Regions from separate parts of the Mus musculus genome. Here regions 1, 2, 3, 4, 6 and 7 are each reported to be linked to region 5. The links are microRNA targets in miRTarBase. Many come from high-throughput screens and were not tested one by one. Region 5 holds a microRNA gene; each other region holds the end of a gene's coding sequence.
What was found. Region 5 holds the annotated microRNA mmu-miR-10a-5p (UACCCUGUAGAUCCGAAUUUGUG, at 1,117-1,139, shown strand). A microRNA usually pairs through its seed, bases 2 to 8, with sites in the 3' UTR of a target mRNA and lowers its output. Matches are read on the target gene's strand: a 7mer-m8 pairs with bases 2 to 8, a 7mer-A1 pairs with bases 2 to 7 and ends in A, and an 8mer does both.

Region 1 (4,076 bases), not on the chromosome of region 5:
CCCTCCTGGGATCAAGGTGGTAGATCCCTCATGTTTACAGGACTCGGAGCGTATCAGAGTATCCTCAGAGGACCGAATGGGTGAGTGTATGCATAGTATTCAGGAAATGCCCAGAGGTGGCACTGCTTCTAGGTTTGGCCCATGACAAATGCCAGGGCTCCCTTTCCTCCCCAGGGTGGAGGCCTGTCTCTACCTCCCCACCCACTGCAGGACTGCCCCCGCAGGTCTCTTTCCGATACCATTGCCAGCTGTACTCGGAATGGAGGAAGACAAATCAGAAAGTCCGCCTGAAGATTCGGGAAGCAGATGGCTCCGAGGATCCACATCACTCCTTGCTGGCTACTGGACTCTTAAAAAAGGTGGCAGAGGAGACCCCTGTGTGAAGGCCTGGCTGGCAGGGCTCAGAGGTAGTAGACAGACCAGAGTCAGATGGCAATGCAGCTGGCATTTGGAAAGATGGAGGCTGCCTGACTTTTCATGCACAGCTATGATGCTTCTCAGGCCCGTAGCCACAGCCAGCAGAGCCTGCTCTGTGATCCCGTGTGAACATATTTTCAAGGGTTTTGTTTTGCACATTGTTGTATATGACAAGCACAGATGGACAGATTTGAGCTTTGGATGGAGTAGGCACCTCTGTCTCATTTTGAGATCTGTTTGACACCTTTTGCACAGCAGCTTTAGCGCTGGTGTCAAGGGCGCCCGTTGGACTAGAAGGTTCCAGCAAGCTTCTTGCGTTACTCTGCACCTAGCTGGCTTGCTTTACTGGCACTCTTGACTTATAATCTTATAAAGTTGCACTGCATTTCAAAAACCCACCCCTGAATGAATAAAAGGAGCCCTTGCTGGCTAATATGGACGCATCAGTTATGTTTCTAAGCTGTTCCAAGCGAGTGATTCTGTGGGGGCACAAAGTCTAAAATGCTTGGCTTGTTCTGTGGGGACTGTATGAAGCTTCTTTTCTTCTCTTCTCTTATTGCTATGATAAAGGACCTGAAGTGGAGGGACAGAGATGGCTCAGGGGTGAAGAGCACTGGCTACTCGAGAAAAGGACTGGGGTTTAATTCCTAGTGCTCTTCACAGCTTGTAACGGTCTCCAACTCCAGCTTCAGGGGATCCAGTGCCTCTTTAGGCTCCCATAGACGCTGCTCACATATGGTGCAATACATAAGTGCAGGCAAGATACTCATACACATAAAATACAGTTTTTTTTTAAAAAAAGTAACTTAGCCCTGGGACTAAACCACCACTCAAAGAAAACACGTGGTGGGACTCATGGCTCCAGCTGCATATGTAGCAGAGGATGGCCTAGTGGGTCATCAATGGGAGGAGAGGCCCTTGGTCATGTGAAGGTTCTATGCCCCGGTATAGGGGAATGCCAAGACCAGGAAGCAGGAGTGGGTGGGTTGGGGAGCAGGGGTAGGCGGGAAGGGGATAGGGGATTTTTGGAGAGGAAACTAGGAAAGGGAATAACATTTGAAATGTAAATAAAGCAAATATCTAATTTAAAAAAGTAATGTAAGGGAGAAAGCACTTAGTTTTAGCTCACAGCTACAGGTACAGCCCCTCATGGTAGGGAAATCAAGGCATAATTAAGTTGGGTATTTCTATATCAATCAGTACAATCAAGATGATCCCCATAGTCATCCCCCGAGAGGTTCATCTCACAGGGGACTCTAGATTCTGTCAAGTTGACAGTTAAATCTAACCAGCATGGAAGCCTAAAGAAAAAATAAAGTCAGAGTTGTTGTTTTTGTATTTTTTTTTTTAAATAAAGACTAGGATTCAGGACCTTGGGAGACAACTCAGTAGTTAGAGGGCTTGCTACACAAACATGAAAATTTCCCATCTCTATAACCTATATAGATCAGTAGTGTGTGTGTTTCTGTCCTCTAGGAAATCCTAGTAGCAAGCTGGCTAGCTAAACTAACCATATGGGCAAAGCTCTAAGTACAGTTGAGACACCTTGCCTTAATGTATAAGGGGGAGAAGATGAGTGAAGACACCAACATTAGCCTCTGGCCTCTGCATGCACATGCACAGGTTTGAACAGGCATGCACTTGCACATATATGAGGGAAAAAAATAAAAGAACAAGAAATGAGGTTAGCTTATTTTTTATTATCATGTTAAAATGTATAATAATAATAATAACTATTATTATTATTATTATTGTTATTTTGCTGGAAGAGGTCAGAAGAAACCTTACTAGTAGAGCAGAGTCTCTCCTACCTTCATGTGGGCTCCAGGGATCACACTCAGGCTATCAGGTTTGCACAAGTGCTCTCATCCATTGACAACCCACCCCCCACCCCCGCCACTGGCCTGGGCAGGATTTATGGTGAATGATCTTTTAAAAATATTTTGTAAAGATTTTATTCTTGTGTAAAAGTGTTTTGTTTTCCCTGCATATAAGTGAGTGTTCCATGTGTATGCAGTGCTCAAGGAAGCCAGAAGAGGCCAAGAGATTCCTTGGAACTAGATGGAGTTAGAGATGGTTGTTAGTTGACATGTGGCTGCTAGAAACAAAACCTCTGTCTTCTAGAAGAACAGCAAGTGCTTTTAACCACTGAATCATCTCTCTGGCTACAATAAATGATTTTTTAAAAGTTATATTAAGCTGGGTATGGTGGCGCACGCCTTTAATCCCAGCACTCGGGAGGCAGAGGCAGGCAGATTTCTGAGTTCAAGGCCGGCCTGGTCTACAAAGTAAGTTTCAGGACAGCCAGGGCTATACAGAGAAACCCTGTCTCGAAAAAAAACCAAAAAAAAAAAAAAAAAAAAAAAACCACCAAAAACCAAAACAAACAAACAAAAAAGTTATTTTAGCTGGTGATATAGTTCAGTGATTGAATATTTGAATAACAAAGACAAAGTTCTGGGTTAGATTCCCAGGATCATTAAATAAATTAAGTTTTTAATATAATTTTAGTGCACACATACACAGAAACACACACACAGTCTCTGAGTAGCTCTGGCAGGCTAGAATTCAAAGAGATCCTCTTGCTTCTGTCTTCTGAGTGCTGTAATTACTAAAGGTATGCATCACCATGCCTGGCAATACATATATTCTCTCTGTCTCTCTCTCTGTCTCTCTCCCTATGTATATAATATATATATGTTATTTATATATACATATATATTTTTAAATGCTACTGGGGATTGAATTTGAGCTTCACATAGTCTAGGTAAATGATCTACCATGGAGTGATATACTCAGCAACAAATGACTTTAAGAGTAAACCAAGTTGGGGGTGGGTGTGTGTGCTGAAGAAATGGCTCAGTGGTTAAGAGCACTGGACTGCTCTTTTATTGAAGAGGACCTGGGTTTGATTCTCAGGATCCATGTAATGGCTCACAACCATCTGTATCTCTAGTATCAGGGGATCCAACTGATACCAAGGATACACATGGTACCAAGACACACAGGTAGGCAAAACACCTGTACACATAAAATAAATCACAAAGGGCCTTTTGTGGTGGTGCATATCTTTAATCCAGCACACAGATTTAGAGGTAGGCAGGCAGATCTTTGTGAGTTCGAGGGCAGCCTGAAATACATAGCAAATTCCAGACTTCCCATGGCTTCATAATGAGATCATGTCTCAAGGTAAAATAAGCCATGTGTGGTGGCATATACCTTTAGTCCCAGCCAAGAGGCAGAGGCAGTAGGAGCTCTTTGAGTTCAAGGCTAGCCTGGTCTATATAGGGAATTCCAGAACAGCTTAAATATTTTATCTTAAACAACAGTGACGACAATGGTAACAACAATAAAACAAACAAAAAGCAAATTAATAATAATAATAATAATAATAATAATAATAATAATAATAATAAAAACTTGACAGTATACCAGGGCCATGTATGTAACTCAATTGTACAATCTTAGGATTTTACTGCTGTGAACAGATACTATGACCAAGGCAACTCTTTTTTTTTTTTATTTGTTTGTTTTTCAAGGCAGGGTTTTTCTGTATAGCTTTGGCTGTCCTGGAACTCACTCTGTAGACCATGCTGGCCTTGAACTCAGAAATCCGCCTGCCTCTGCCTCCCAAGTGCTGGGATTAAGGGCATGTGCAA
Region 2 (4,000 bases), not on the chromosome of region 5:
TAGAACCCAGGGCACCTGGCTTGTGGGTGGAGCAGCTACTGTTGCTCCCTGGAAAACTTTTCCAAGCTGTGGCTATTCTAGTCAGGTACCTTGAGTTGTATCAGGTTCAAAACCTGGTTGCAACCAGCATAGTGGCTGAGACACAACTGGATTTAAAAGTTTTGCAGCTCTATAAGTTACATGAAAAATGTAGCAGTAGAAAAGTGTGTGTACATGTGTGTAGTTGTTCAGTTTGGCAAGTCCATTTTAGCATATGTGATGGCCCATGTCTCTCTCTCGGCTCTTCGCATCTTCAAACGGATGCTATTGTCTTACTAGTTCCTCCACTACAGGTTATTTTGGTCAAATAAAATCTTTACACATGCTCAGAAACAAAAAGAGGGTCTGGTAAGATGGCTCAGCAGCTGAAGAGCTTGCCAGCCAAGCACGAAGACCTGTATCCGAGCCCATAGAGAGGAAGGAAACGGCTCCAGGGTTGTCTTCAGTCATCCCCATGGGTGCCATGAGATGCGCTGAGCCCTTGCCCCCGCCGCGCCCCCACCCCCTTACAGCAGTTGTAAGACAAAGTGCAGGCACAGCTAGGCCTGCATCATGGAGTTGTTGCTTCTGTTCTATTACCTCCCTCTCGTTGCTGAGCCAACTGCTTAGGTCCCAAGCACTCAGATTAGGTGCTTGGCATAATGCTAATGCATAATTTACATTGGCCCTTAAGTGAGAAGAAAAGAATGTCAGAGCACTCTGCCTGTTTTCAATATCCGCAGGGCAGAACAGGAATGGTGGGCCACACTCCTCATCCCAGAACTGGGGAGGTAGAGGTCCGAGGAGCTGGAATTTAAGGTCATTCTTTGCCATTTATCAAGTTGCAGGCAGAGTACATTTCAATCTCCTAGCCTCCTCCCCGCACCTGGGAGGGAGAGGCTAATCAAAGGAGGTGGGGGTGGGGGCAGCCAGTAGGCATAGAACTTGCTACAAAAACAGAACTGGGTTTATTTTTCCAGCGTTTGATTAAAAAGCCAGGCACCCAGGCCACACCTGTATGTAACCCTAGTGCTGAGAAAGCAGAGAATAGAGGCGTCTTGGTGCTTACCAGCTGGACTAATTAGCCTAATAGGTGAGGTCTAGGTTCAGCAAAAGACCCCGACTCAAAAAACTACAATGGAGCATGGTGTGGTGGCCCCTCCTTTACTCTCAGGATTAGGAGACAGAGGCAGGAAGATCTCAAAGCTTGAGGCCAGCCTGGTTTACAGAGCAAGTTCCCAACATCCAAGGCCACTCCCTAAGGAGTGAGACCCATACCTTTAATTCCAACACTCCAGGAGGCAGGGGCAGGTGAGTTCCCTGGCCACACAGATTTAAAGATAGGATTCCAGGACAATCAAGGCTACACAAAGAAAGCTATTCTTGAAAACCACAAACAGACAAAAACATAAAAGTACAGAGATTGAAGCAGACATCAGTTAACCTCTGGACTCTCCTTGCAAGTCTGTGTGTGTGTGTGTGTGTGTGTGTGTGTGTGTGTGTGTGTGTATGGGTGCACATGCACAGAATATTGGCAAATGGATAAGAGAATCCAGCACAGATCTGTTAAATGTGTTAACTTCTTTGGGCTATCGCAACAAAATAACCCAGACAGTTTAAACAACAGAAATGAGTCCCTGTAATTAGAGTTAGAAGTCCAAAATGGAATTGTCACTGCTTTAGTGTCTGGGTCTACTCTGGTCATCACATGATCTTCCCCAGGTTCACACCTTTGTTTACATTTTCTTTAGGAGTGCATGTTCACAGGTATAGTGATGAAATGACTTAATTTTATATTCATTGCATCCCTTTTTCCTCTGAGACTTGTGCTTGTATCTGCTGAGCCACCACTCTAGCCCCTTTTGAAAGGCTCTGGGGCTGGAGAGATGGCTCAGAGGTTAAGAGCTGAGGTCACGAGTTCAATTCCCAGCAACCACAGAGTGGTTCACAACCATCTGTTAATGGGATCTGATGCCCTCCCTCGTCTGGGGTCTCTGAAGAGAGCGACAAAAACCAAAAACAGCCTTTGTCAGAGAGAGGGGGGGGGAGGAAGGAAAAAAAGAGGCCGGTTCTATCTGTGAAGTGGAATCATGGCCTGGTGATTAAGAGCATCGGGTTGCTCTTCCAAGGACCCAAGTTTGATTCCCAACACCCACATGGAAGCTAACAATAGTTGCGGAGGGATCTGATGCTCTCTTCTGGCCTCTGCAGGCACCAGACACACACGTGGTGCACATACAGACATACAGATAGATACAGGCAAAACCACCCTTACACATAAATAAAAACAGCAAAGCTTTATCTGAAAATATGCTACTCATAGCCTGTGGTCCTGAGTTTGGGGGCTCAAGTATAGGCTAATAAATACAAATTCTGGTAGAAACATAGAATTTTGTCCAGAAGTTACTAAAAAGTTTTAAGTTTTATGCATGAACCTATTCATAAATCTGCTAATGATGATCAATCTGCTTAAACGGTATTGACTTTTTTTAAATCAAGTTCACACCAGAAAAAAAAAAGTATGACAAATTTCTGTGAGAAAACCGGAGTTCCTGGGGTGGGGCCCAGGTAACAGGAAGCATAGTAACAGCTTAGCAACCTTGAGCAGAAATGATTGCCCCAAAGTCATGTTTCAGCATCCTGAGCATGTTAGAGCTGCAAATTAATGTATCCTCTCACGGGGAATCACTGGAGAAGGGGCCCAGGACATTGTTTTGAGGCCCTTCCAAAGTGAATTCTCCTGTCCAACCCCATTCCTGGTACAAGGATTCTCCAGAATTCTGGCTGGCCTTAAATTCAAGAGATCCACCTGCCTCTGCCTCAGGTGCTGGGATCAAAGGCATTGCACCACCACTGCCCAGCTCCCAAGTGAATTCTTGCACACTATAAATCAATGGTTCCCAATCTTTCTAATGCTTAGGCCCTTTAATACATTTCGCGTTGTGTTGATTTCCAATCGTACATTTCTTTGCTACTTCATAACTCGACCACTCTTCTGAATTGTAATGTAAATATCTGATATACAGGATTATATTCTGATCCCAGGTTGAGACTACTGCCTTAACTGGAGTAGGTTAAAAAGTACAAAAGGGTAGCCAGAAATGGTGGAGCACACCTTTATCACAGAACTTGGGAGGCAGAAGCAGGTAGATCGGAGTTCAAGGCCAGCCTGGTCTAAATAGGAGACTCCAGGACGGTCGGGGCGACATAGATATTCTGTCTCAATAAGGAAGGACAAAGGGATCAAGAGCTGACATTTTAATGATGCCCTTTTCCCAAACTACTGGGTAACTTAAAATAATTTGCTTGGGCCAGGCATGGTGGTGCATGTCTTTAATCCCAGCACTCGGGAGGCAGAGGCAGGCGGATTTCTGAGTTCGAGGCCAGTCTGGTCTACAAAGTGAGTTCACGGGCAGCCAGGGCTGCACAGAGAAACCCTGTCTCGAAAAAACAAAACAAAACAAACAAAAAAAAAAAACTTGCTTGACACAGGAGTTAGGGCCCACTTTTAAGTCAACTGTGCCATTCTTGAGGGCCAGACTGAAGTGTTGTTAGAAACCGTAGGAATACAACCTACATACTCCCCGAACCATCAACTGAATACTCAAGTGTTTATAAATTTTACTGTATGTGATCAAACCAACAGCATACCAAAAAAAATTTTTTATATTGGAATAGTTCTACAAATTGCTATTTGCAAAGAAAAATAAACAGGAGGTGCTCGTGAAGGCGGGTAAGAAAATACGTGTAGTGATTTAAGACTCCATCTGTGTTTCTCTTCCCTCCAGCGGAAGCGGAAAGCCAGCCAGTTTTAGCCCTTTCTTACTTAACTTGCTTAGGATTGAGGAGGCACGAATTTTCAAGAACTCTTCAACTTCTTTCACCTTCACAGCTGGAAAAGGATCAACACCAACAGTCAGGCGGGAGGGGCGCAGAGTTTTAAAGAGAAGGGCTTCTGGACCTGGAATCTGGGAAGACTGGT
Region 3 (4,076 bases), not on the chromosome of region 5:
AAAAAAAAGAAGGAAGAAGAAAGGAGGGGGAGGAGAGGAAGAAAAAAGAAAAGACTAAAATAAAACTCATGGTCAAGAGTCCACAGAAAAATGATCCATCAGACTGGATGAGGTAGTTAGTTTCCTTCTCTGTGAATTTCAAGGAGTCTTTGTGGACTCCAGTCGTAGCCCCAACCACACAACTCTGGCCTGAGGGAAGTCTTATTCCCCTTGGCTAAGGCTTCTCCATTTACCCAAGGGCCTGATTAGGTTGTTTCCAGGAACACCTGCTTCAGGGCCCTGCTGCAGCTGCCACAGCCTAGGGAGAGACGATCAGTGCTACAGAGTGGAACTGGCTCTTTCTTCCTGGTACCTTTGTGTCTTCTTGGAGGGGCCAGGAGGGAAAATTCTCCCAGGCCCTCAAGGTTTGCCCTTCTCGGATCCTCTGAGCTGTCCCTCACTGCTTATGAACCTTGAATAGATGCTATGCTTAGTGACTGTACTGTAGCCAGAGTGTGATCATGAGCTAACAGCATCAGCAGAGTTTGGAGACTTATTAAAAACACAAATCATCTGGTAGTGGTGGCACACACCTTTGATCCCAGCACTCGGGAGGAAGAGGCAGGTGGATCTATGAGTTCAAGGCCAGCCTCACAGAGTGAGTTCTGTACCTGTGGTTACACAGAGAAATCCTGTCTTGAAAAACAAAATAAAACAAAAAGTAAAACATAAATTCTCAGGTCTGGATATGTGAACTAGGCTGGCCTCAAACTTGCAATTCTATCGTCTCTGCTGCCCAGGACATAACCACATCTGACTTCTTACTTGTTTATAAGGTTTATTGTGTTTTATTATTTTTTTAAAGATTTCTGTCTGTGTGTGTGTGTGTGTGTGTGTGTATACTTGGGCGTGCATGTGTGCACACACACACACACACATGCACACACATATTAGTGCAGGTACAAGGTCAGAGGAAGAAGTTGGATCCCCTGGATCTGGAGTTAAAGATAAGTGTGAGCCATCGTGTGGGTGCTGGGAATTGAACCCAGGTCCTCTAGAGGAGCAGACAGTGCTCTTAGCTGCTGAGGCATCTCTCCAGCCCCCACCATCAGGCTCTCATTGTTTTGTGGTATCTGTTGTCCTTAGTACTGGTAATGGGAGACACCTTGTGTGTGCTGGACAGGGGTTCCAGGTCCACCTGACAGCCCATTTTCATCAGTTTCGTTTACTGCTGAATCCTTAGAACCCACCCCCACCCCTGCTCAGTCCCCGAGAGGCTAATCAAATTTTACAGGATGAATGAAAATGTTACCTGCTCTAGATTACAGACATCCAGAGAGGAAGATTTTCACCCTCAGAAGAACAAAACATCACAGCCTCACCTCTGGCCCAGAGTCCTCAGAGCTATGGCAGGTCCTGAACCTCTCTCTCCTGGGCTGCAGTGCACTGGCAGCGCAACCTCAGGAGGTACTATGCGGACTCTGCCAGGTCTGGGTGCTCGCTAACGTAACTCATGTTCAAGGGCTGCTGTGGAATGGAAGACAGGTAGGAAATGAGCTCCTCTAAGGGAGATAACCTGTTTGCACTAGCAGGTGCTAAGTCAGCCCCAACCAAGACAGGGAATCCCTTCCCCTCACTCTTCCAGCCATCTAAGTGCTGCTAGGCCCAGAACCTGGTCCTCTGTGACTAGTGGAGAGAAGTCCCCCTTTCCCACACAGAAGGGCAAAAGCATGTGGAGTAGCCTCTAACATCTCTGCCACCTCAGATGGAGTGGCCACAGCATCCAGATTGTAGAGTGGACGCTTCTAGTTTCTTTGTGAAGTTAGTAGTTATGTCATATGTTTTGCTGGGCCGCACAGGTGAAAGGGTGTTTTGCTGGAGCAGACACACGAAAGGACTCTTGATGAAGAACCATAAATATCCACCCCACAGACAATGGGAGGGGGAGCAGTGGTTCGGTTTGCTCACCTCACTATTCTTCACTTAACGACATGCACGTATTGGTTCGACTTACATAGCTTGTTGAGCTCAACCTCTGGTAATGCTGCCATTGTGAGAAGCTCGCCCAAGAACTGCATGAGGTTCCTGCAGCTGCTTGCCACTTCTGCAGTCTCCCTCCCTTGGGGCCCACTGTCAAGCCTGGTGGTTTCTGTAGGATTGAACTACAACTGCTGGTTCGTGCCTGGTGTCTGCCTGCTGAAAAGGCTGGACTGTAGCTGCTGGTTCGTGCCTGCCTAGAGGACTGGTCTGCAGCTGCTGAGTCGCATTTGGAGTTTGCTACGGGACTGAACTGCACCCAAAGATCAAGCTCACCCTCAAAGGACTGGTAAACAGGTCTGCTTCCTCCATATCCTAATGACTTTTCTCTTCCACTGCCTCTGCTGGGTGGTGGGCTAAAGGAGAGGTTGGACCCTTATTAAAAGCAGGTTGCAAAAAAATGTATGCCTACAGGATTGAGTTTAAATTTCCCATACTCTCTTCTCCACTGTGGGTCCAGAAGTCACAAAGAGCACCCTGACCCACCAGGTTAATGCTCTGTCACTTGGTGACTTCTGCTGGTGCTTATTCTTTAGGGTCAGAGCAGAACCCTGGCTCTCCAGAGGCAGAACTTGGCTTCTTACAGAACTAGGATTGCAGACACAGCAGAAATGCAAAGGGCAGGAGTGTAAGTGTGACCCCAGGCTGGATGGAGATGAGCACAGAACAGAGGCGCTCATTCTTCTCAGGAGCTATACCTTCCATCCATCCAAAGGAACATGGCTGTCCATCCAGGAAGCAACTGCCTGATAGCCTGACCCCTCCTCTTCTGCCCTCCCTCCCTCCCTAGCTCAGAGGGTGTCCTGCCCTGGCCTGGAGAGACACAAAGAGGCTCAGCTGTTAAGTGAAGTATAAAATGCTAATGCAAGTGGCTTTTATTGAAGGCCTACTGCGTGTTGAGCACCAGGTATGCCTCCCATCTTCTTGCACTTTCCACCAACCAGGAAAGAGGGTGCTAATGGGCCCCAGATGTGAGGCAGGGAGGGAATCACCAAGGCGGAGGTAGATGGAGGCAAAGTAGTTGGGTCCTCAGAGGGCAGGACTCTGGGCTCCAGCCAGCTTGAAACCCCAAAGGCTGAGGCCTCCCTGTCCCTGAGCCCACTGGCTCTAAATTTGCAAGCAGAGTCAAGAGTCTTGGGGTAGCCAGGCAGTGGTGGTGCACGCCTTTAATCCCAGCACTTGGGAGGCAGAGGCAGGCGGATTTCTGAGTTCAAGTCCAGCCTGGTGTACAAAGTGAGTTCCAGGACAGCCAGGGCTACACAGAAAAACCCTGTCACAAAAAAAAAAAAAAAAAAAAAGTCTTGGGGGTCTTAGTGTCTTCACTCTGAGACCTTCAGGAGTGGACTCTGTCTCTGAGTGCTTCTCCTCCCTTGGAATGAGTCCAGAGGACAGAAAACTAGCTGAGCCCAAAATAACAGTCAGATTTCTGCTGGCTGTCACCTCTTCCTCTCCCCTCTCATCGCTCATTTGGATTCCCACTTGGACCTCATGGGCTAGCGGTCAAGGGGGCAAGAGAAAGAAAAGGAAAATCAGATGTAGAGATGTCAACAGCTATGGAGAGAGACAGACAGGTAGAGAGGCAGATACAGAGACAAGACAGAGACAAAGCTAGAGAAATCAGAGAGAAGTAGACAAGAGGTGGGTTGGGGATGGGAGAGAAGCAGGAGGAGGGAGGAGGAGAGAGCTGAGAAGGGAAGCCCGGGCCGTGGACTGGTCCTCTTCTAGGTCCAGCTTCACCTACAGTTCATCCCTGTGGTGAGGATGGAGGCTGTGTCCACTGCTGCCAGTCAGGTGCAGGTGGGGGCCACGAAGGGCCTTTTGAGAGCCAGTCTGGCTAATGAGGCGACCACTGTCATCGTCCCAGGGGGAGGATGTCTCTGTGTCACTGAGCCACTCGGCGTCTCCCGAATAGTGGGTGGGGGAGGCAAGCAGAGGCCTAGCTGAGAAGGCTTGGAGGTCCCGAGGCCAGAAGTATGCTTTGTACTGGTCACTGTGAAGTGAGAGAAGAACTCTTAAGTGGACTCCAACCCAGAGCTGGGGCCTTGACTGTCTGCAGTACC
Region 4 (4,076 bases), not on the chromosome of region 5:
GATGGGCTTCCGCATGGACCATGAGTTTGTCGCCAAAGGACACCTGTTTCGGAAGGGCATCATGAAGGTTGTGGTGTACAAGATTTTCCGAATCCTGGTCCCAGGGAACACGGACAGCACCGAGGCCCTGTCCCTCTCCTATCTTGTGGAATTAAGTGTTGTCGCCCCGGCTGGGCAGGACATGGTCTCTGATGACATGAGGAACTTTGCAGAGCAGCTCAAACCTCTGGTTCACCTGGAAAAAATAGACCCCAAAAGGCTGATGTGATGAAGAAAGTTTGTCGGCCTTTTAGGCCTGTCCCCACCTGGGAGGTGAGAGACTTCGAAAGTAGCCCAGGTACTGCTGCCAGCCGGGCCCACTTCCTTCCAGAAGATGATGGCGAGACCTGGTTCCTTTCAACTGTTTCCTTCACTTGGTAATGTCTCTTTTTTCTTGCAACAGGGTTTTACCATGGAATTCACTACATAAACTAGCTACCCTGGAACTCAGGACCCTGTACTTCCCGCCTAAGTGCCTGCAAGGTCCTTATTAAACCTGACTGTTCATCTTCTTGATAGGCTTTTCCAATGAAAGACCCAGGATAATATGGAGATTTGTTCAAGTCCTCCCTCCACTCAAAAAGAGGGAACTGGAATAAATTAGCTTTTCAGAGGAAAGGTCAAAAAACAACTCATAATATTTTGCTTTTTTTTTCTTTTTTCTCTTCTTTTCTTTTCTTTTTTGTTTTTTTTTTTTGTTTTTTGTTTGTTTGTTTGTTTGTTTGTTTGTTTTGTTTTTCAATACAAGACAGGGTTTCTCTGTGTTGCTTTGGCTGCCCTGGAACTCACTTTGTAGACCAGGCTGGCCTCAAACTCAGAAATCCACCTGCCTCTGCCTCCCGAGTACTGGAATTAAAGGCGTGCGATAACACGCAAGCCCGGCTGTTTGTTTTTTTTTTTTTGTTTTTTTTTTGTTTTTTTTAGAGAAACATTTTTTATTCCTTTATTTATTTGTTGTTTTCTTCATATGTTTTAAATTGTGTTGTTTTGCCATTGATATACAAGGTTTACAATGGTGGTGTGAGCCAGCATTGTGTGGTAATAAAGACTGAAAAGACTCAGTTGTGATTCTGATTCTTACTCGTCTTAACTCCTTCCTAGTCTACTTCTATATTGCTATAGTTCTGTCTTACTATTGTTGTTATTGTGTATGCTGTGGGGGCCTCTCCAGGACCCACATGGGAGAAAGAAAGAACCGACTCCTGCCTGTTGCCGTCCTGTTTCTCCACAGGATTGGTTGAGTCCTGCACCCACATGTGTGCACACCCACACACAAATGTAATCAAAAACATTCAAGTAGCTGGTGATGGAGAGGTGGCTTAGCTGCTAAAGAGCACTGGCTGCTCCTGCAGAGAGGACCAGGCTTAATTCCAACACATCCTTGAGTGCTGACAACCTTCCGTAGGAGTCCAGTTCTAGGTGATTGGATGCTCTCTTTTGAAGTACACAGGCACCAGGCACACACTCAGTACACAGACATGTTCAGGCAAGAAAAGGGCCATGTGCTGGTGGTGCATGCCATTAACATTAGTCCTGGCACTCAGGAGGCAGAGGCAGGCAGACCTGTGGTCTACAGTGCAAGTTCCAAGACAGCCAAGGCTACACAGAGAAGAAAGACAAAAGGCTCATAGTCTTAGATTTGAAAAGTCAGATACTTTTTCTCCTTCTCCTTCTCTTTTTCTTTTTCTTTTTTTTTCTTTTTCTGCCAGGAAAACTTTCAGTCCACTTTCTTTTTTATAGGAGTCTTACCCAGGATCCTACCAACAGCCTTAGTGAAATTTACTGTTGGCTCATCTACCTTCTGTTTTAGATTACAGTTATTTCTTTAGGTCTCACGTGTGCATGTGCTTCTGTGCACATGGGATCAGAGGCCAGCTTCCAGCAGTTCTGTATTTTCACCATCCGGGGCCTGAGTGTGGAACTCAGGTTGTCCGGCCTGGCAGCAAGCTCCTTTATCCACCTTTCCTTTCCAGATGAGATCTCTCACAGCCTGCAGCTCAGTTTCATCTAGACACCAGCCAGGGGCCCCTTAGCTTTCTTCTTTCCACCCTCCCTGCAGCAGCAGGGTTAGCAAAAGCCAGTCACTGCCTCCAGCTGCTGCCCGGGACCTGAACTCAGGTTTGTGTGTTTGCTTAGCAATGTTTTATCCCCTGAACTACAGCCCCGGTCCCTTGCAGTTATTCTTTGTAGAGATGTTTTAATCTTTCATGAAAGTAGTATATTTGAGCCATCCTGTTATCAGGGCATGGGGAGGCTGAGACAGGAGGATCACAAAATCCAGGTCAGCGTGAGCGACAGCAAGATCCTGTCTCAAACCACAGGCACACTCAAACACACACAGAGGAAAAGGACATTTTTGTTGATGGAACATTTTAAAACCAATAAAATACCAGAGATGGTTCTATTTTTGCTACACCTGCATGTGTAGCTGTGGAGGTCTACAAACCACTGCCTGTACACTGTGGTTGCTAGGTTTTGGAACTTAAAAAAATTTATTTTTTTCTCAGCCAGGCATGGTGGCCCAGCACTCAGGAGGCAGAGAAATACAGATCACTAAGTTTGGGGCCAGCCTGGTCTACAGAGTAAGTTCCAGAACTTTTTGTATACCAGGCTGGCCTTGAATTCACATAGCTCCAGCCTGCCTCTTGCCTCCTGAGTGCTGGGGTTAAATGCCTGTGCCCAACAAGCCTGGCCATAACTCACTTTGGATCTTAGTTTGTCATTCAGAGGAATGGATTGTAGTCCAGTATAGACTGTTTGGCTAGCATGCACAAGATCTATAACTAATACCACTCATGTACAAGTTCCCTGACTAATCCCACTCAAACACAAACACACAGACTATCAAGCAAGGCATAGTTTGTCCTCATTTGTCCCAACAACCAGAGAAGCTGAAGTCTGAGGAACACTTGTGTCCAGAAACTTAAGATCCAGTTTGGACAATATAGCAAGACCCAGGTGGGAGTGGGGTTTTGCATCAAGAGACAAGCAGACAGATTTCTGTGCGTTCGAGGCCAGCCTTCTCTACAGAGTTCCAGGTGAGAAACTGTCTAAAAAAGTTTTTTAAAGAACCCCAAAATGAGCTGGGCATGGTGGCGCACGCCTTTAATCCCAGCACTTGGGAGGCAGAGGCAGGCAGATTTCTGAGTTCGAGGCCAACCTGGTTTACAGAGTGAGTTCCAGGACAGCCAGGGCTACACAGAGAAACCCTGTCTTGAGAAACAATAACAAGAAGGAGGAGGAGGAGAAAGAGAAAGGAGCGGGTGGGAAGAGAAAGGAAGAAGAGGAGAAAGAGGAAGGAGGAGAGGAGGAAGAGAAAGGGAGGAACAGGAGGAAGAGGAGGGGAGAGAAAGAGGAAGGAGGAGGAGAAAAAGTATTCCTTCACAGTCTTTGCTTGCATTTATCCCTCCAAGTTCCTACACTGAGGGGCTGTAACCTGGGGGGTTGTGAGATGAAACAAGCCCTTTCTTTATTCCCCAGGTTGTTTTGGACCATGGTATTTACCACAGCAACAAAGCAAACTAGGACAGGCTGCCACTGTGTGTTAGTACAATCACTCAGACACTGCTCCTTAGTGTGTAGCCTCCCTCTGTTTCTAATCTCTGTGTTTATTCTGTACTAGACAAAGTCTTCCTTTCCAGCCCAGGCCAGCCTTGAACTTGAGGCAGTCCTTCTGCCTTGACCTCCAGAGGGCTGGGATTACAGGCATGAACTACTATACCCAGTCCTAAATTATACTTTTATTCTCTATCACATGTAACCACAAAAATTAAATTTATTTTCGTTTGTTTCTGTTTTTATTCTGAGGCATCGTCTCATGAAACGCAGCCTAGCTTCATCCTTTTGAGTTAGTGAGGCTGACCTTGAACTCAAAGAAATCCACTTGCTCTCCACCTCTGGAGAGCTGAGATTAAAGGCATGCACCACCATGCCCAGCCTCATCTTCTTAAAGTACATTGTGTGTATGTGTGTGTGTGCGCTTGCGCAAGCGCGCATGTGAAAATCAGTGTACAAAAATGCAGTTACAAGCACATCCT
Region 5 (4,076 bases):
CCCCCAAGCCTAGGGTGTTATAGCGGTGGTGATAGTGAGAAAGACTCTGCTGGACACACTTGCCCTCACCTGGTCACAGCTCTCCCAGTTTAAACTCCAGATCCTCAATTTCTCATTTTTTCAGTTTAGAAAAGTCAAATGTTAGTGGGAGCTTCAGGAAGTTCACCCAAAAACTCCAGAATCCCATTTTGGCCACACAGCCAGCAACCCAAGCAGGTGGATGGGCCCAGTTAGTGAGCCTCTAGACAGAGGATCCTTGCCTGGGGATAAGGTGTGGGTAGGGGGGGTCCTCCTCACACCTCTAGGGGGGTGTCCCCTTATTCCAGCCTCCAGGAGGTATGGGGGGGATATGTGAGGTTGGGAGGGGCCTGCACATCATCTGGCTGCAACTTTTATGGTTCCTCATTGCCCTTCATTCGGAAATGAACTGCCTTTGATCTTCTTCTCAGGTTGTAAACGGAATTGCCCGTCATTAAATATGGGGGGGGGGGCCATCTGTTTGGTCTCCCAGCATTTTTCCTCACAGCTGTTTTTCTCTCTCTTTTTAGCATTCACTTTTTCCAAAAGGACTTTTATTACACCCCCTTCACACCCAGACACCTCTCCCTCCTCCCTTTGCTTTGGAAAATATCTATATATGTGTTTGATCACAAACTAAAGGCTGTGGGGGCAAGGGAGGAACCTATTTGGGGTTTTGTATTTTTTCTTAAAAAAAAAAAAGTCATGGGGGGAGGGGAGGGGCCGAGGGCACCCAGAAAGGCCTGATTCTGACTTCGAGGCAGCCTCGGGATGACCCTTCCTTCTTTTGTGCTTAGCTAATGTTTACATCTAATAATTCATGCGCCACCGAAAGTCGCGCGGCAGCCACGAGGTTCGAGTCCCTTTGCACAACAGCTGCCTTTTTAAAAAATCTTATTTTATTTTTTGAATAGAAAGTTGAAACCCCTTGTAATCCCAAGAACGGACCCACAGTGACTTTTCTGCTCCCAGATCTCAAAATTAAAACAAAACGAAATAAAAATGAAAACATTCAGATCACACCCAAAAGAAGAACGCACGGAAAGTAAGAGAACTGGAAATTTCCTGGGCCAAGAAGACCTGTCTGTCTTCTGTATATACCCTGTAGATCCGAATTTGTGTAAGGAATTTTGTGGTCACAAATTCGTATCTAGGGGAATATGTAGTTGACATAAACACTCCGCTCATATTCTTTCCCAGAAGAAAAATAGATTATTTTCTAAATGAGGACAATCCAGTGACTGCCTTCAAGAAGACTCCTTTTCTTTTCCTCCCTCAACCAATGAGGGAGAAATCTCATCTACCTGAGGTGTCCCCATGCACACCCCTGGAAGCTTGGGTCCTTGTTCACTCAAGAGATTAATGTTACTGGTGTTTTAAAATTTATCTTTAAGCCCCAACCTACCTATTCTTATTCTGGGTCCAGGGGGCTTTATTGGAAATCATGAGGAGGAAAAAAAGATTGCTGAAGGCTGCAGTGTGCAAAGGCAAAGGAAATTTGCTTTTTAAAAGGATGCGAAGATTGCTGTTTCGTTGAATTCAAGACAAGATGCCCTGAAAACATAAGGTTGCCATGGGTGTTCTTGTGCGTGTGATGTTGGTGGGGGCGTCACAGCTAGGGCTCCTTTACTTAGTATTCAAGGTTGTGAAATTTCTTTCTGCCACACTGACAGAGGCGGCGGCTTTAGCGGCAATTAGAACTCTTGGTTAGCATTGCTTCGACGAATCTGGAATTAGCAAATTACTATTCAATTGGTTTTAGGAACTTGCGGGTTTGGTTTGGTTTCATTGTATCTTCTGTCTTTAGTGGAGGGAGTCCAGCCGTTCCTCTGACCTTGGGCCTTGTGGGTTAAAGGGAGGGAGTGTTGAGGAGGACAGACTGACGGACACAGCCGATGCTCATAGTGCAGCTAAATGCGATTTGGAAGGCGAAGTCTCCCCGAATTAGTGCGTGAATTTCCTATCGATCTGCTCGCGGTTCCATTCATCTCTGACAAGTCCCTCTGCGCACCCGCCTTCTAGCTCCCGACGCCTCCTCACTCACCTCCTACCCCTCCCCATCTGGCTGCACTGAGAAGCCCCAAGCTCAGCGCCCCTATGACCTAGTGGGTACCCATTTCAAGAAGGCGCTCCCTGGTCGGCCAACCACTTAAAACCCCACACAGACACCTAGTGCGTGAGCTCCCTCTTATCCTGGGGAGGAGATGGGGCCCTATGGGAGTCAGAGAAAGGTTGGTGGAGATTAGGTAGGGCAGGGGTGGGGGCTACACCCGCAGCCCCAACTTCTGAGGGATGCAGGGTTTGTGCTCTGCCCAGCCCCCTCACCCCCAAACAGGCCCTCCAATTAACCTGCTCACTCTTTCTTAGTTCATCACCCCTCTCTGTTGTGGAGAAAGCCAGGCGAGGAGGGGGTCTCCCCGCGGGAGCCCTATGTAAATCCTGGTGTTGGGTGGGTGGGGAGGGGTAGAGAAGGGGAAATAAACCTCTTTGGCTGGAGTAGGGTCCGGGTGAGCAGATTTCCTTATCCGGGAATCGCAGGCCGGGTGGCCATTGGCTCGGAGGATCACGTGGGCCTCTAACTTTGTTCACTTGACAGTAAGTAGGAGGGCTTTCGGAAACAGGAAAACGAGTCAGGGGTCGGAATAAATTTTAGTATATTTTGTGGGCAATTCCCAGAAATTAATGGCTATGAGTTCCTTTTTGATCAACTCAAACTATGTCGACCCCAAGTTCCCTCCGTGCGAGGAGTATTCACAGAGCGATTACCTACCCAGCGACCACTCGCCCGGGTACTACGCCGGCGGCCAGAGGCGAGAGAGCGGCTTCCAGCCGGAGGCGGCCTTTGGGCGCCGGGCGCCGTGCACTGTGCAGCGCTACGCGGCCTGCCGAGACCCCGGGCCCCCGCCACCTCCGCCGCCCCCGCCGCCCCCGCCACCGCCCGGGCTGTCCCCTCGGGCTCCAGTGCAGCCAACAGCCGGGGCCCTCCTCCCGGAGCCCGGGCAGCGCAGCGAGGCGGTCAGCAGCAGCCCCCCGCCGCCTCCCTGCGCCCAGAACCCCCTGCATCCCAGCCCGTCCCACTCCGCGTGCAAAGAGCCCGTCGTCTACCCCTGGATGCGCAAAGTTCACGTGAGCACGGGTGAGTGCGTGGGCACCCCTTCCCCTCCCACCCCCGGCGCTTTACAGTGAAGGGACCTCCGAGGCATGTGGGGGAGGGAGCGAGGGGAAGCCAATTGTCCCCGCTATAAACTCGCCATTGCCAGAGATTTACGGTCTCCTGTTTTCAGAGCCACATAATTACATCGCCCATAAATTTTTATGGCCTAGTGGGCCCTGCGCCTTTGAAGTCATCCTCTTCTTCATTCTCCCAGCGACTTTTTCGCCAGGGATTCGCAGTCCCAGTAAAGTTGGAAGTTGGGGAGGGGTGTGGGAGGAGGGGAGGAGAAGGAAGAGGAGGAGGTAATCCCTATTTAAGCACAGAGTTGAATCAACTTCCTGGATTTCTTTTTTTTTTTTTTTTCCCCTTTCTTCCAATCTGGTACCTTGGCTGGAGAAGTAGGCAAAAGTTTTTACTAAGGGGAAGGCGCTGCTTGGAATCTGAGCAGTGAGGGTGGGAACTAAGCCGGGGAAAGGTCTAGGGCAACACCCCCTCCCACTACCCCACGCCATTGGGGTCCTCAAGCCAAAGAGTGAGATGAAAATCTTTCCAAGATTCCTCACAGTGCCCCTCCCCCAGGCAACAAGGACAACAGTACAGCCCTCCAAAAGTTTGAGTTTTTTTTTTTTTTTTCTTTCACGGGTCTTCCTTTTTCGACCCCCTCCCTCCAAGATGAGGTAGTGGGAGCAGGAGGCTCGGTGTTAGCTGGAAGGAAGAAAGGGTTTCCCTCCTCCCTTTCGGGGGCAATAAAACTTTCTCTTTCTCCCTCTCTCTCTGTGTGTGTCCAGTAAACCCCAATTACGCCGGCGGGGAGCCCAAGCGCTCTCGGACCGCCTACACTCGCCAGCAGGTCCTGGAGTTGGAGAAGGAGTTTCACTACAATCGCTACCTGACGCGCCGCCGG
Region 6 (4,076 bases), not on the chromosome of region 5:
TGGTGAGTAGCCACGGTAGCCATCCATCACGGCAAATGCCAGGTACCCACTGGAAAGGATGAAGTTTCAGTCAGCAGCTCGGAGACTGACTTCTTGGCTCCTTTCACAGTTCTCAAAGATACAGCTGTTTCAATATAGTTTTTGTTTTGTTTTGTTTCCTTATAAATGAATGTCTGTTCTTTCAATTCCAGGGTTTTGGGGTGGCAGCAAAGTCTACCCAAGACTGCCGAAAAGTGGACCCCATGGCAATTGTGGTGTTCCACCAAGCAGACATTGGGGAGTACGTACGCCATGAAGAGACACTGACTTAGGACGGTCATTCCAAGAACATTTTGCTGTGTGAGAGGACTTAGCTTTGTTTCCTGTGTGCGGCCATCAGATTAAATCTGGACAACACTGAGATACGCAACTTGGGTTCTTATCAACAGAAATGGCGTGAAAACAGGGTCTCTGGCCCTCTAGAGTCAAAAGCAGGTGGATCACAAGTATAAGGCCAGCTCAGGCTACTTGGAGAGTTCAAGGCTAGCCTGGGCTACATAGTGAGCCTTGTCTCAAAAATCTAAAACAGACAAACCAGAACCTGAGAGTGTTTTGTGTGAGTAAATAGAGTGTTTCTGTTTTGTGTCTGCGTCGTCTTTGTTTGGATCAGAAGACTTGCTCTGAGTGATGGTTTCTAAGTTACTTCACTGAGGACAGGAGCCATCTTACTGTTATCTGTGATAACACTGTTTTCCAGGCTCATGATAGCACAGTGGACTTTCTATTGTGTGTTAATGTTAAAGGTAGAAACGGCCATATGAGCCTCTGGTTTTACATATGGAATTTAATAAATTTTAATGGTTTTATATTTGTTATTTCATATGTGTGAGTGTTTTGTTGGCATGTACGTATGTGCACTGCTTATGTGCCTGGTGCCTAAGGAAGTCAAGGTGATTTCAGACCTGGAACTAGAGTTACTGGTTGTGAGCCACCGTATAGGTGCCAGAAATTAAACTCAGGTCCTCTGCAGGGACAGCAGTGGTCTTAACCACTAAGCTATCCTAATAAATTTAATAGGTGCATTTTGGCTATTTTTCTTGGTGTTAAGTGGGGTATAGCGTGGAAGCGTCTGTATTCAAGCCTCAGTTCTGCCCCTTGCCAGCTGTGGTGGTGGACAAGTTCTCTGCTTAGAGAGGCTTCATTTTCTTCCTTTGTTAAAAGAAAAAACCCATGACCCTGCCGTATGGTGGTGCATATCTTTAGTTACAGCACGGGGGCTTGAGGGTGAGGCAAAGGCAGATGGAGCTCTATAGGTTCAAGGCCAGCCTGGTCTACATAAGGAGATCCTGGCCAGTCTTAAACCCAAAACCCACAAAACTGAAAAAACACCTCCAGTCATCAGTGTAACAGTGATATTCAGAATTAAAAATAGCAGTTGTAGGGGCTGGTGAGATGGCTCAGTGGGTAAGAGCACCCGACTGCTCTTCCAAAGGTCCGGAGTTCAAACCCCAGCAACCACATGGTGGCTCACAACCATCCGTAACAAGATCTGACTCCCTCTTCTGGAGTGTCTGAAGACAGCTACAGTGTACTTACTTACATATAATAAATAAATAAAAAATAGCAGTTGTAAAGCATCCTGCATGGGATAGAGTTATCCTGTCTCAAAACAGGAAATTGTTCGTGCGTGTCTGTGTGAGTATATCCTGCTTGGGTAGCGGTATCCTCAGAGGGCAGAAAACACTTGGGATTCCTTGGAGCCTGAGGTAAGGACAGTTGTGAGCTGGCCATTGTTGGTGTTGGGAACCAAACTTCAGTCCTCTAAAAGAGAATGTTCTTTCTGAACTGCTGAGCCATCTTCCCTGTCTGTGTTAAAATGATTTTGTTACTTTTTTTTTTTTTTAATTGAAACAAGTTCTGACTATGTATCTCTGCTTAGAATGTACCCAGGCTGGCCTCAAACTCAAGGATCCATTGATTCTGAAGTGCTGAGATTAAATGGGTATACTACCATACCAGGCTCAATTCCCCCACCTCCCTTTTTTTTTTGTTTTTGTTTGTTTTTTTTGTTTGTTTTGTTTTTGTTTGTTCTTTTGAGACAGGGTTTCTCTGTAGCCCTGACTGTCCTGGAACTCATTCTGTAGACCAGGCTGGCCTCAAACTCAGAGATCTGTTTGCCTCCAAAATACTGGCCTTAAAAAATGTGCCCCACCATGCCTAACTTCAGAACAATTTCTTTTTCTTTTTTTTTGAGACAGGGTTTCTCTGTATAGCCCTGGCAGTCCTGGAACTCACTTTGTAGACCAGGCTGGCCTCGAACTCAGAAATCCACCTGCCTCTGCCTCCCGAGTGCTGGGATTAAAGGCATGCACCACCACACCCGGCAGAACAGTTTCTTAAGATATGATCAGGTTATGTCAGTTTTAGGGGGCATTTTTATTTTTTGAGACATTTGTCACATTATATCTAAGTTGGTCTGAAATGCTATGGGACCCAGGCTGTCTTAGCCTCTCAGGTAATGGTATTATAGGTCTGTCGCCACACCAGTTTCCAATGGTAACATCTTTTAAATAAAGTAAAATATTTCCAACCGTTGAAGGGCACTACAGGCCAAGAAGATAGCTCAGTGGACAGCCTGGTAGGGTGGATCAGCCATGTGCCACCAAGCCTGATGCTGTGTTCAATCCCTGGGACAAGGTTGAAGGTGGGGACATTGCTGACCTTTGTAGTCCTCTACAATGGATTAAAATTTTTTAAACTCCAAAAAGTTGTCTCCGTATCAACTCTTTCAGAGCTTTTAACGTACTTTGAGATATGGTCTTGAACTGCCTAAGGCTGATCTTAGTGCTTCCTCTGCAGTGCTAGAGTTCAGATTTGAGAGCCACCACCCTGATTTCTGTGGTGCCAGGGATCGAGGCCCAAACTGCATACAAAGCAGGTGCTCTTACTGAAGGGAGCTTCATCCTTGAACCCACTTCCAGGGTTTCTCTGTGTAGCCCTGGCTGTCCTGGAACTCACTCTGTAGACCAGGCTGGCCTCGAACTCAGAAATCCGCCTGCCTCTGCTGGGATTAAAGGCGTGCGTCAGTGAAGGCTGAGGGACAGCTGGATAAAGATGTTTCTAGGCTGCGGATGGGGTTACACACCTTGCCAGCAGTGGGGATGCAGAATCTCTTTAGTTTGGGGTGAGTTGGGTCTACCCGGCAAGTTCTAGTAGCCAAGGCTACATATTGAAACCCTGCCTCAGATAAACAGTACTTTTAGCTTTTAGCACTTAATTCGTATTTTAGAATGATCAGCAGCAGAACTCACTTTTTGTTAAACATTTGCCTTTATTGGTGGACACAAGAGAAAGGGGACATAAGTTGACCCCCCCCCCAATAACTTTCCAAAGCCCATTTGATCAAAGCTTTGACAAATAGGCTATATGTTAGCATCTTGGCTTCTTTGTGTCAGTAGTTGAAGCAGTAAAAAGTCTTTTCAAGAAATAGAGCTGGAGGGCCCCGGAAAGAACAATAGCAAGGCTCTGAGCTGTGGACCACCAGTTCACATAGGTGTAGTTAGACTGCAGGAGGAAGAAGTCAGCCACTTTTCTCATCCTGGCATAGTTGTAGAAGCGCCACATGTGGAAAACTTGGTTCTCCACCCTTTGTGTGCTGTCCTGTGGGAAGAAGGAAAGCCACTCTGGCTGCTGTTGGGTCTTACCTGCCCTGATCTAAGTGACCTGTGACTCAGGAGTCTGAGAAACAGTGCTACAGCAGTTGGTAATACATGGTACTTTGACTTTGTTTGAGAAAAATTGGTGGAGTAGTTTTAAAGTTAGGAGGCATAGTTAGGGCTTGGGATGTACCCAGTGGTAAGGAGGATTGCCTAGTACCCACAAAACTCCCCACATCCTAAACTCAGCAGCCTTGAACATTCAAGGTAAGCACTTGGGCTACTTCTCACATAGCCCAAGCTGGCCTCAAACTCAGTGTGTAGCTAAGGGTGACTTTGAATCCTGATCTACTCTGTTGAGGTTACTTGTATAAGCCACTATCAATTGAGATGCGTGTTCCACATGCCGTCACCTTCCTAACCAATACCTTGTCCCTGCAG
Region 7 (4,076 bases), not on the chromosome of region 5:
GGCCAGCCTGGTCTACAAAGTGAGTTCCAGGACAGCCAGGGCTATACAGAGAAACCCTGTCTCAAAAAAAAAAAAAAAAAAAAAAAAAAAAAGAAAAAGAAAAGAAAAGAAAAAAAAAGGAAAAAACCCAAAAGGGCAGCACTCCGTGTAAGGAAGAACTTACCCACTGTTAGCAGCGCCCGGCTCACCCTGCCCCCTTTCTCTTCACAGCTAGCCCTGGGGAGCCTCTTCCATGGCCTGGATGTGACCTTCCTGCAGCCAACCTCCTTGACTTTGCTATACCCTCTGGCCTCACCTTCCAACAGCACTGACATCTCTCTGGAGCCCATGGAGATCAGCACCTTCCGCCTGCGCTTGGGCTAGGCCAGGGCTTCTTGTGGCCTGAAGACAGGGTTCATCCACAGAGACTGCCTCCTAACACCAAGACTAAGCTGGACAAGCCACACCAAGTCTCCCCTCCGCTCTGCCTCAGAAGTGACAGACTGTGCTGTGCCCTTCCGTTGTCTATTGCTGCTCCTGCGTTTGGAACAGTCCTTACATCAGCAGGCGGCGGGGGCAGAGAGACAGGGGAGAGGAGGCCCTTGCCCTAGGCTGTGAGTAGGTACCCAGCTGGGCACAACTCAGGCTTCATCCTTTTCCCAAAATGGGATGTAGGAAGAGTGGGGACAAGCAGAAGAGGTCAGGGAGGCTGGGGGACAACCTCACGCTAGGAGACTGCAGGTATGAGCTTGCTCTGCGGGGTCATATGGACCCCACAGTGCTGGTATGAGGGTACAGGAGCAGGGTGATTCTGGGAGGAGAGGGGTAGGCGCCCATTATTAGTGGAGTAAAGGCGTGGAAGGAGTCCCTGGTTCTCCTAAGAGCCTAAAGGCTTTGCTGCTTTCTGCTCTGGCTCTGTTCTGAGTGCCACTGGGCCTGCTCTGAGTGCCACTGGGCCTGCATGCCCTGGCTAGGGGCTGCTGGGTGCAGGAAGGGCTTGCTTCAGACTCCAGGCCAGAGGCCACGGAACACTTCAGGCACTAGCACTAGTTCTCAGCTGATCATTTGGTGTTGATCTGTGACAGGGGTAGGGAGTGTCTCCCCCTGATCTGCTTTCTTATCTCACACACCAGGCTCCCCACGAGTTCCCATTGTGGGGATCCTGGCAGGATTCCTTTCTCTAAAATGGAAACAGAGTTTCCAAGAGGGCTGTGCTTGGGTGTCTTGGGAAGGCATCCTGTGCTGGGGCCCCTGGTGGGCTGAGGAGGTTCACTCGTATCCCACCTGCAGAAGTATTACCTGCCCGCTGTGTGGACGAGGAAGGCAGAGACAAAATTAGGAGGTCATGTGCTTGGATGAACCTTCGTTTTTGCTTCAATCAATAGAGAATCTGTCTATAAATGATAAGAGTTGGTAAAAGCAAAGTTCCATCCTTACGAAAACTTAGTAAGCCAAGACTAGAAAGAAGCCCGTAATCTGGATAAAGATCTCGTCACCAGTAAGCGAAGGCGCCCAAAGCATCGGACAGAGCAGGCTCTGATCCCCTCAGTCAGAAACTGCCCGGCGGCACAGTGTGTTGGTGTCACTAACCCACACTTCAGATGGAAACAAGAATTACAATTGCCACTGTTTTAAAACCATAAGCTACCTAAGAAACCTGTGTGTCAACTAGCAAGGCATTCTGTGAGTTGCCCTGTAACGACTGGTTCTCCCCAAATCAACCCATAAACATCAGTGTAATTCCCACGAGGTTGGACACTTTCTGGAACTCTTCAGGTCCTGGCATTCATCTGGAAGGTGACAGGCTGAGGATGTGAAGTAGTTCTGAATGGCCGAGGTGATGAACGGCTGCTGACACTAAGGCGGGCAACAGGCAGTAGCTGTCTTAACAGAGTTCTCAAACGACTTGGACTCTTCTGCCAGCGTGAATTCAGCTGCCATGATAGGTCAGGTCAGACAGACCTAGGCACGTAGAAATTCAGTATATGATTTCAGGTGCAGGGGAGGGGAGGTGGATATTTTCATAGTGCTTTGAGACAGCTACCTACCTATGAGACTTCTGTTTCAAAAACAAAACAAAACAACCTAGGGCTAGAGGGAAAAAAGCAAAAGCAAACAACAAAATTGTTATTATTATTATTATTATTAATTATTATTTTAGTCTCACTATGTACCTCTGGCTGTGCTGGAACTCATTATGTAAACCAAGCTGGCCTGGAAATCACAGAGATTCCCCACCTGCCTCTGCCTCCTGAGTTCTGGGACTAAAGGCATGCGCCATCATCACACCTGGGAGGAAAAAAATTTTTTTGTTTTTTTGAGACAGGGTTTCTCTGTGTAGCTCTGGCTGTCCTGGAACTCACTCTGTAGACCAGGCTGGCCTTGAACTCAGAAATCCACCTGCCTCTGCCTTCCTAGTGCTGGGATTAAAGGCGTGCACCACCACTGCCCAGCAGAAAAAAATATTTTTATACCTGATTTAGGAAACCCTTTTCTAGACATAACATGAAACCTAATATATAATGGGGGAACATTAAAAAATAGGTTTTGACACACACACACACACACACACACACACACACACACACACACACACACACACACACACAAAGCTTGAAAGCATGCTATAGGAAACAGGTTAAATCAATACAGCTGTGTGGGTGGAAACGAGTCTGCAGTGAGTTCTGTCACTGCTGGAGAAAAGTGTGTTTTGACTTCTCAGAGAACGTCACTAGGGTCTGTCCAGCAGCACCCAAAGACTCAGTAGTGACAAGGCTGAGTTCTTGCAGGGTCTCCATGGTTTATGTTGCCAGGCTCAGGCCACACGGCTTCCTATTCATGTCTTGGTGACAGGAATGAGATGAAGAGTGGGGAGCGCTTAGCACAGAGCAGGGGTTGCGCCTACAGCAAGACTTATTTGCTACCATATGGTTTGTAATCAAATGATAGGGAACTGTGCAGAATAAAGAATATTCTTTGGAGGTCAGAGATGTGCAGTGAAGTTACTTGTCTGACAGGACAAATTTTAATCACAAACACACACTTGGGAGTGTCTTGCAATGTATCCCTGACTAACCCAGACTTGCCATAGAGAGCCAGGCTGGCCTTAAACTTGTAATCTTCCTGCCTCTGCTGCCCACAGGCTAGGCTCACAGGCATGCACACCATGCCCTCCCTGCTGCTGTTTACATACATAAATAGTACTTAGAGCAGTGTCCTTTCAAAAGTTCGTCAGCAGAGTTGCCTCTGGAAAGATAGGCAGGCCTGTTTCTTCAGTCTGGGTGCTAAGGTGATGTGTGGCAGAGGGCCACATGTAACTGGATCAAGGAAAAAAGCCAACTCTTGGTAAAGCCTCTGAACTAATCCTTGGGAGAATAAGGGCCAAAGCCAAAGCATTTCCTTCTCCCCTCCCCTCCCCTCCCCTCCCTTTCCCCCAGGCAGGTAGCACAAGCTAGCCTCCAATTTTTACTGCATTTCCTGCCTTAGCCCCTCAAGTGCTGGGATTACAAGTGCATGCCTCCGTGCCTGGCTCATACGGTTCTTGGTAATGGCACAGTGAGTGCGTACTGTTTTAAGGTAAGCAGCAGCTGTTGTCCACAGAGCTCAGGGATGGATGCCTCCCCAGTAAGGCTAACAGTCTACAGTGGAACCAAGATACAACAAAACAACCTCATTCACCAGAAAGAGAAGGACTCCCTCACTGAGACGCATCCAGTTCCATAAGGAGGAGAGGATTGAGTGGCCAGCTGGAGGCACAGAGAGAAAGGCGGGCAAATGTGAGGAACTTCACCATCTTGCAGGGCGTCAGGCCCAGACAGGGTCCGGATCTACCTTCCCCAGGGCATGAAGAGGAGTAGGAATTCCTGGGCAGACAGCATTTCTAACCCGAGCTGGAAGAGTTTAGCTTGCTGTCATGGTGGTTAGGGAGCCAGACACTTCCAGTCCAGCTACTCTGGAGACAGGGGAGGAGTCTGTTGAGCCCAGGAGTTTAGAGCCAGCTCAAGCAACACTGAGACTCCATCTCAAACAAGCAAAAAGCCACTAGCTGTCACAAACACAAAGAGGAAAACATAAACTATGTAGTGGAGGGGTGAGGC

Region 1: miRTarBase lists Marchf2 as a target of mmu-miR-10a-5p. The part of its 3' UTR that is shown has no 7-base or 8-base seed match.
Region 2: the mRNA of Ooep is a reported target of mmu-miR-10a-5p. Seed matches in the 3' UTR shown: 7mer-m8 at 3,453-3,459.
Region 3: miRTarBase lists Cercam as a target of mmu-miR-10a-5p. Seed matches in the 3' UTR shown: 7mer-m8 at 3,284-3,290.
Region 4: the mRNA of Med18 is a reported target of mmu-miR-10a-5p. Seed matches in the 3' UTR shown: 7mer-m8 at 439-445 and 7mer-m8 at 788-794.
Region 6: the mRNA of Nip7 is a reported target of mmu-miR-10a-5p. Seed matches in the 3' UTR shown: 7mer-m8 at 442-448, 7mer-m8 at 2,078-2,084 and 7mer-m8 at 2,234-2,240.
Region 7: the mRNA of Man2a2 is a reported target of mmu-miR-10a-5p. Seed matches in the 3' UTR shown: 7mer-m8 at 388-394 and 7mer-m8 at 2,302-2,308.

The regions. Positions count from the first base shown.
Region 1 is chr17:33,688,302-33,692,377 of GRCm38, reverse strand. It overlaps Marchf2 (membrane associated ring-CH-type finger 2), which reads left to right. Exons shown (of 5, transcript NM_001252480.1): 5 at 225-873. The coding sequence ends at 383. Among named protein-coding and RNA genes, the nearest start is that of Hnrnpm, 4.9 kb to the right of the region's middle.
Region 2 is chr9:78,373,782-78,377,781 of GRCm38, forward strand. It overlaps Ooep (oocyte expressed protein), which reads right to left. Exons shown (of 3, transcript NM_026480.3): 3 at 3,122-3,910. The coding sequence ends at 3,774. Among named protein-coding and RNA genes, the nearest start is that of Ooep, 2.8 kb to the right of the region's middle. RefSeq lists cis regulatory regions at 1-2,698, 1-2,698 and an enhancer at 265-1,629.
Region 3 is chr2:29,881,626-29,885,701 of GRCm38, reverse strand. Cercam (cerebral endothelial cell adhesion molecule) reads right to left here. Exons shown (of 12, transcript NM_207298.2): 12 at 2,862-4,006. The coding sequence ends at 3,754. Among named protein-coding and RNA genes, the nearest start is that of Odf2, 6.3 kb to the left of the region's middle.
Region 4 is chr4:132,455,752-132,459,827 of GRCm38, reverse strand. It overlaps Med18 (mediator complex subunit 18), which reads left to right. Exons shown (of 3, transcript NM_026039.3): 3 at 1-1,099. The coding sequence ends at 268. Among named protein-coding and RNA genes, the nearest start is that of Med18, 6.1 kb to the left of the region's middle.
Region 5 is chr11:96,316,070-96,320,145 of GRCm38, forward strand. Mir10a (microRNA 10a) reads left to right here and starts at 1,096; the gene lies at 1,096-1,205. It overlaps Hoxb4 (homeobox B4), which reads left to right and starts at 2,198. Exons shown (of 2, transcript NM_010459.7): 1 at 2,198-3,154; 2 at 3,961-4,076. The coding sequence starts at 2,701. It also overlaps a transcript of Hoxb3 not described here.
Region 6 is chr8:107,058,186-107,062,261 of GRCm38, forward strand. It overlaps Nip7 (NIP7, nucleolar pre-rRNA processing protein), which reads left to right. Exons shown (of 5, transcript NM_025391.2): 4 at 1-2; 5 at 192-2,746. The coding sequence ends at 311. It overlaps Tmed6 (transmembrane p24 trafficking protein 6), which reads right to left. Exons shown (of 4, transcript NM_025458.2): 4 at 3,299-3,639. The coding sequence ends at 3,409. Among named protein-coding and RNA genes, the nearest start is that of Nip7, 3.3 kb to the left of the region's middle.
Region 7 is chr7:80,347,986-80,352,061 of GRCm38, reverse strand. It overlaps Man2a2 (mannosidase 2, alpha 2), which reads left to right. Exons shown (of 24, transcript NM_172903.4): 24 at 211-2,965. The coding sequence ends at 363. Among named protein-coding and RNA genes, the nearest start is that of Hddc3, 6.9 kb to the right of the region's middle.